Danio rerio: one gene and its partner. The protein of the gene in region 1 binds, or shares a complex with, the protein of each later gene. Links are inferred from orthologs where the notes say so. Each region holds a gene or a part of one and is shown in the gene's direction. Other genes may lie near its edges.

What was found.
Region 2: stx5a (region 1) and bet1l share a complex: the UniProt entries of both Homo sapiens proteins name them as parts of the SNARE complex. The link is inferred for Danio rerio from reciprocal best matches to the Homo sapiens genes STX5 and BET1L.

The regions. Positions count from the first base shown.
Region 1 is NC_133189.1:9,156,715-9,160,369, forward strand, and holds part of stx5a (syntaxin-5a), read left to right. Parts: intron 1-239; coding exon 240-310; intron 311-497; coding exon 498-614; intron 615-804; coding exon 805-861; intron 862-3,206; coding exon 3,207-3,288; intron 3,289-3,655. UniProt on the Homo sapiens protein: Mediates endoplasmic reticulum to Golgi transport.
Region 2 is NC_133200.1:8,372,436-8,376,576, reverse strand, and holds the start of bet1l (BET1-like protein), read left to right. Parts: upstream 1-1,318; 5' UTR 1,319-1,368; intron 1,369-1,997; coding exon of another isoform or gene 1,998-2,267; 5' UTR 2,268-2,270; intron 2,271-2,434; exon of another isoform or gene 2,435-2,496; 5' UTR 2,497-2,567; intron 2,568-2,728; 5' UTR 2,729-2,766; coding exon of another isoform or gene 2,767-3,003; intron 3,004-3,087; coding exon of another isoform or gene 3,088-3,243; exon of another isoform or gene 3,244-3,275; intron 3,276-4,141. Other genes in the region: kcnj11l (potassium inwardly rectifying channel subfamily J member 11, like), read right to left, coding at 1,111-1,318, 1,998-2,267, 2,767-3,003, 3,088-3,243. UniProt on the Homo sapiens protein: Vesicle SNARE required for targeting and fusion of retrograde transport vesicles with the Golgi complex. Required for the integrity of the Golgi complex.

The DNA.
Region 1 (3,655 bases):
GCGACAAGACTTTTGTCAGGTAAGCTATATATATATATATATATATATATATATATATATATATATATATATATATATATATATATATATATAAATATAAATTCATTTACCAACAAAAAAAAAATCCAATCTTTGTAATGTTGACCTGTTTGTAATAACCAGATATTGTTGTAACTGTTAGATATTGCATTGTTCATGTCTGCTGTCAATGTAATGTTTTATTCTCCATTCATTTTTAGTGGCCAAAAGGAAGTCTTTGTTTGATGATAAAGCAGTGGAGATTGAGGAGCTAACATACATCATTAAACAGGTTGGTAAAGACTTGTCATTCTCCATATCCAGTGCAATGAAAAACATCTCAGTACCTGCTTGTCCTTACATTGATGTTAAAGATGGCAAGTGTTGATAATTTTGTTTACTAGAATCCTGTATAAGATCAAGCCTCTAGCAGTGATCTGATGCAGTCTCTTTTTTTATCTGTCTGTCCCTCGCATCAGGATATCAACAGTCTGAATAAGCAGATAGCACAGCTGCAAGACCTTGTGCGATCCCGCAGTGGGCAAAATGGCCGCCACATACAGACACATTCCAACACAATTGTCGTCTCATTGCAGGTACACTTTCCTATCTGACATTCCACTCTTTCTGTGTTTATCTTACATTTCCTGCGCTGTAGACAGTAGGGGTGGTGGATCTCGTTTTGCTTGACATCAGATGACTTGACAAGCCGCCACACCTTTCATTTTTCTGACGCAATACAGTTCACCATGTAAACAGTCTTATCTGGGAATGTTTGTGTTGCAGTCTAAGCTGGCATCAATGTCCAATGATTTCAAGTCAGTTCTGGAAGTGAGAACAGAGGTGAGTTTTATGTATTTATCATTTCTTTTTTTTTTCTTTTTGCTTTTTTTTTGTGTGGATTCAATTCATATTTCTGGATTTCTAAGTAGCGGAAGTCGTCATTTGGGTAAACCTAGAGCTCAGTGAATGGTTATTATTTCAACAAACTATTTGTTGAAATAATAAAATAAAGACTCAACAATGGTGTTATCAAAACTTTCAGAATAAGCAAAAAAATTATGTGAGACTGATAACAGCAGCCAGAAGAGAGAACAACGTCAAATTTACTGTTCTGCTCATACACGCTGCATTACAAACGCACAAGAGGTAATTTGATGCAAAGATTAAATAATGCACTACCTGACAAAAGTCTTGTTGTTCATCCCAGTATTAAGAGCAACAAATAATAACTCAACTTCTAGTTGATCTCACAGAAATCAGTCAAGTTTGGTGAAGGAAAAATCATGGTTTGGGGTTACATTCAGTATGGGGGCGTGAGAGATAGCGAGATGTGTGAAAGATCAGCAGGATATCGATCCTTTTCATACTTCAGCCTCTGCATCATGGAGTAAACCATGGCTTTATATTGTATACTGTACATTATTTCTGTTAAGTGACAAGTCTTTTGTTTAAGCAAAGTCGGAACTTACTGTCCTAATTCACTGATTAAAAATCAAAGCATGATCATATTTTATTTTGGTAAATTAAGCGTAATCTAGAGGCCTTTGCATTTTATATAAGCCACTTCTGGTAGAAAATTAACTAGAAGAACTAGAAGTCAAGTTATTATTTCTTGTTCCTAAAACTTGGATAGGCGACAAGACTTTTGTCAGGTTGTGTACATGCGGAAATGCATATAAATGTACTTGCGTATTATAATTTTTTAAAAGTCAAAATATTCCTGTATTTCAGTTTATGATGACCATTATATAGGTCATAACATCCTTGTGAAAAAGGTCCATTGCTAAGTGGCAATTGTAGCACTTAATAATTTAATAATGTCATCATTTCTGTGATGTTTTTTTTTTTATGTTTATTCTGTGCTTTAGTTACACAATACAAAAGTGTTTACAGTGCATCTATACCGCTTTTTACGCTTGAAACCGTTAACCTGTAGTCATCCTACATCCTGGATAAACTGAATCCTGGGTTATCTATAATCAAGTTTCACACTACTCTTAATACACCTGGCTTTAATGAATAATCTGGGGTATTCGTTAACAGACATTTCGCACTAAACAGTCCTAAACACAGTGTCAATGTTTGGTAACACTTTATTTTGATGGTCCATTTTAGTATTAGTAGACTGTCTGCTTAATATCTGTTGATATGCTCCTTCAACAGACATTTAACTGACTATAGGAAACATGGCAAGTACATGTCAACTTACATTAACCCCAACCCCGACCTAACTGTCTACTTATAATCTAATGAGAATCAGTTGGCATGTAGATGCAATGTAACTTAAATTCAACAAACGGAACATCAAAATAAAGTGCGATCCAATGTTTTCATTTGCATTGTCAATGTTGCTGATTAGACGAACAACAGGTAACCTTTTACACGGCGTATGTTAACGTGTCATCAATTACAAAAAAGCAAAGTTTGTCATCTGAACATCTCCTAATCACTCCAGTTTACACGCTTTACATCTTTTAATATTACTTGCTTTTTTCTCACTGACTGCTGGTTACATGATGCTCATTTCTTGTTATTGGTTCGACATGACCTCGGGGCCTGTACCATGAAGATGGATTAGTTTGCTAACCAACTAAGCGATGCACCAGTCTTGGGTTTTAGGTAACATAAAGGCAGCTTGACTCAAATAAATCTTTGGTATTATGGAGCAGCTGAGCTACCTTTGTTATGTTCATGGTGTCATTTAAACAGAAGCATAACTGGCTATCCAGCTAATCTAGCTTCATAGTGCAGTCCCCAGGAGTTAAAAGTGGTGGTTAGAATGATGATAACCAGGGCGAGGCACAGTGTAAAAGAAGCCTTATGGTTAGTTTTGACAATTCTTGTCGCCATTTTTGAAAAGCATTTTTAACTCAATAAAAGATTAATAGGGAACATGACTTCACAAACTAGATGTCCATTTGCTTTTTCACAATGAACTTTTAGATTTCAAATTGGAGGCAGCCAATGCACTTTAATTATGATCAATGTGAAGATGCCAAAAACAATAGAAAGCAAAAAACGGGGCAGACTGACTAAAAACGAAAAAAATAAAACTTTGACCGATTTATCTCTTATCATTGTCCTCATGTTTGTTTTAGCTTTCAGGCAAGCTGTATTCTGTTGTATACTACTTGAATTTAATGAGTGAATTATTATAATGTTTTTTTTTTCTTCTTTTTCTTCAGAATCTGAAGCAGCAGCGCAGCAGAAGAGAGCATTTCTCTCAGGCTCCTGTCTCTGCCTCTCCTTTACTCGCCAATAACTTCAGTACGTCTTTTCCTCAGTACTGTCATGTTCGTTTTTTTCTGTTGTTATTAGGTTTGACCTTTTTTTCTTTTTTTAATTTTTGTTAGTTCAGATTTAAACTTGACTTTTTTAAACATAAGCCTATTTTGCAACTCTCCTAGGGCTCTATTTTGATGATCCAAGCACAAAGTCTAAAGCGCATGGTGTGTCCGAACCCACATTTTGCTATTTTAAGGTCGAAAAAATATGTTTTGCGCCCCAGTGCATGGTCTAACAGGGTTGAGCTTATTCTCTTAATTAGTTATGGGTGTGTTTTGAGCATATTGTGCATTAAACCAATCAGAGTCTCATCTTGCATTACATTTAAGAGTCATGCCATGGTGCATTT
Region 2 (4,141 bases), on another chromosome or scaffold:
TGAAAATTTCATAGTAAAATATTCTAGAAAGCCTAAAATTATGACAGATAAGGCATTAGAAGTAGAGTATGTTAACAGGGACACCAATAGTCCGACATTAATAAGATTAAGACAATACTCTTAATAAGAGTCTACTATGTCAGAACTTAATTTTCAATTAGTAATATGCATTACAGGCCTGTAGCCAGCCTGGTGAAGGGTGTGGATCTTTTTTCTTAAAAAGTTGACCATTTTGCATTTATTCGCCTAATTTTTTTCTATGTAATTATGAGGTTAAAATAAGTTGCATTTTTGTAACATTTTAAGCACTATTTTTTTGCTGGATTAGCTTGTTTGATGGTCATCATAACCACATTTTTGATGTTAAGGTTTACATCAATTATCATTTACATCATATACATCAATTGCATCATTAGAAAAAATAGGAATTTGTTAAAGTTTTAAATTAAAAACTTTAGCCTATTGTTATTTAAATATCATTAACATAAAAAGCAAACCGTCCCGCACATTCAACTTTCCTCAGTCATGCTGACGCAACAACCAACACAGGATTCCACATGGTGTTAAAGCCTTTTTCCATGGATTATTTTCACAACTTATTATGACATAGTAGTTATGGGCCTTTGTCAATGAGGGGTGGGTCTTCTGAACCACCTGAAACCCTCCCCTGGCTACAGGCCTGCTTTGTTAATAACTTAATTTAGACAACTTTAAAGGCAGCTTTCCCAATATTTAGATATTTTTAAACCCTCGGATTCCAGATTTTGAAATAGTTGCATCTCAGCATCAATGACAAATGTATTTATTCAGCTTTCAGATCATGTATAAATCTCAATTTCCCAAAATTGACACTTATGATTGGTTTTGTACTCTAGGGTCACATATTAGAGAGCTTATCTATGATAATCCCTTAAAAATACTTTGGCTTTTAAACAAAACAATTACATTAAGCAGACTCTATTCAATCAAACATTCATTCTCCTTCGGCTTAGTCTCTTATTTATCAAGGGTCACCACAGGGAAATAAACCGCCAACTATTCCACCATATGATTTATGCAGCAGATGCTCTTCTAGCCACAACCCAGTACTGGAAAGTAGACTCTATTCACCTTCTAAAATGACAATGATCTCCAGATCTTCGGTAGCCATTGACTGCGCTGAGAGCTCGTACAGTGGACTCCCTCTGTCAATGGTGTGACTGATAATGAGTGGAGAGACGAGGAATATGCCGTTGCTCCTGAGAGGGTTTTCCACCTGGATATCTAACTGACAGACGGGAATCACTTCGCCCTCCGCTGTCACTGTCCGCCGAATAACCTGAGGAGCAAATATCAAGATCAGGATGGAATCAAACTCAAGAATATCTGGTACAGACATGATATATAAAGCATTTTTGGCTCACACTTCACATAATTTGTGTTTGTTATGATAATCAATGTGTATGAAAATCACTCTCCATGTCGAATTTCTAAATTCTTGCATTCAAGATGCCTGAATAGATTTCCATTCTGCCAAGTAATGGCAGAATTTTAATTTTAAGGTGAACTGTCCCTTTAAGGCAGAATTTATACTATCTTTAAAGCTACATATCTGCCATCATTTTGACATCAAATGCCTTGCTTTTATGTTGTCTGAACCTGGTGATAAAATAATGATTAAATAACCTTAGTTTGAAGGACATATTAAAGATCTATAGCAGTGTTTCTCAACCACGTTCCTGGAGGACCACCAACACTGCATGTTTTGGATGTCTCCTTTGTCCGTCAAACCAATTACAGGTCTTTCAGTCTCTGCTAATGAGCTGACGGTCTGAATCAGGTGTGTTTGGTTAAGGAGACATGGAAAATGTGCAAAGCGTGTGGTCCTCAAAGAAACGTGGTTGAGAAACACTGATCTAAAGGACTAAAATGAAGAACTCTCTAATAGAAGGTTCTGTGGATGTTAAGGTTCTTCAATGATTTAAATACATCAGTAAAGAAATAAACACATCTGTCACCTGCAGCTGTATGTTGGCAGAGATGATCATGCTTTTTCTCAGATCTCCAACACGAAACATCAATGTCGGTCTGCCATTCCTTGGGGCAATGACTGCGTTGCGGGAGAAGATGAGGGTTTCTGCTCTGCGGTTGGCTTGAGCTGTCTTCATGAACACACAGCCAAGCATGATGGCGTTGATGATCAGGCCCAGAATGTTCTGGATGATGAGGACTATGATGGCCAGCGGACACTCCTCTGTCACCATTCGTCCTCCGAAACCAATAGTTACCTGGTATTACAAATGCTTCATTATCTTACAGACGATTTAAAGGGGTCATGAACTGTGAAACCTAAAAATCACCTAATTTTTTTTTTTTTACATATAAGAGCTCATAGTTCTCTAAAAATATCCTGTAAGTTTTAGAACTGAACACTTTGTGGTTCCTCTAAATACAGATTATATTGAAGGCAGTCTGAAGATAACAGATTCTTGAATGTTCTACTCTATGATGTAATAGAGTGGATAAGCCCCGCCTCCACAGAAGATTGACGTCAACTTCTACTTCACATCCTGTTCAGCGCTGTTAAGGTATAGTTTACCAAAAATATTACATTGTTTATTCTCCCTCAGTTTTGACAACTAGTATTACGTTTCAGTCAGTCCAATCACAAGTGGATGACATTAAATAAAAATGTATGCGGAGTCTAAAATATTTAGATTACTGAAAATGCATGTCATAATAATTCTAGATGGAAACAGAGTCATATCTATCCAGATTGATCCTTACCTGCACTTCAATGGAGAACAGAAAAGCAGAAGTGAAGGAGTGAATGGATGTGACGCACGGCACAGGTCCGGGTTCATTGGGATCTCGAGGTTCTAGATCTCCATGAGCGAATGCCAGGAGCCACCACACCATGGCAAAGAGCATCCAGGAGCAGAGGAACGCTGAGGTGAAGATGAGCAAAGAATGCTGCCATTTCAGGTCCACCATGGTGGTGAACACATCTTGGAGAAACCGACCCTGAGAAGCAATAATCTCTTATGAACACTGCAACTGAGTCAATTGAAACTTTTCTTTAGCCTAGAACTGATAGGAAAATCTCACCTGTTCTCGAATATTCTTGTGGGCTACATTACATGAGCCGCTCTTGGTGATAAAACGTGCCCTTTGTGACTTTGGCCGGATGCGGCTGGGTTGTGCATCTTCAGCGAGTCGCGTTAACAAGAACCCATCAGGCAAAAGACCTTTGCGGGCCAACATTATGACAATTTGTGGCCAATTGGTGCTCCGCACTGTAGAAGGAATTTAAAAAAAAGAACTAAAATATACAGTAACACTAAGGGTTTCTTGAAAAATAAAGAAAAAATTATGAAGTACATTTCAGTTAATTTAGTTTATCTTTAATTCTTTAGCCCTTTTTACAATGTAAACAATATACAAAGCAGTTTGACATTACATTTTATCATTAATTCATCATTAAATTTAGTGTTTTGTTTTACTTATACTGCTAAAAAAATAATAATAATAAATTAGGTTTACAGTATATATGCATTGAATTGCATAATTTTAAAATCTTTTACCTAAAGGTAACGTTTTGCCTAATAATAATGCAAAAGGTTACATTTATAAATTACATAATGAATAAGGTTATAATAACATTATAATAAAGGTTACATTAATAAATTATATTATTAGGTTATAATAAATAAAAATCGAAGAATTTTTGATGTAACTCGTAATATAATAGTTAAAGCTTAATTTTAATTATTTTTTTTGTTTATTTTATGCATAAACAGATAACTCATAAATTGTCTTTTGTTAGTTGCACAGATATCAAAGCATATTCATAATTTTAAACAATTACATTTATATTTCTTTTAGTTTTTATATTTAACTAATTTAAAATATAATTATTTAATTAAATAAATGGTAATCGTTTATTAAGGGAAAAACTGGCATGAAACTGTCTAATCACGAGCGACAATGCTATTTTGAATAGTTTAGTTTCACTCAAACATAAAATATATACATGTATTATTTCAAATATATACATATATTATAACGTTTTATCATAATTTGGTTGTACATCATCAAAGAAGCGCGTAAGCTCATCGATTATTTTACATATTTCAAAGCAATTTTTTTCGGTATGAGAATT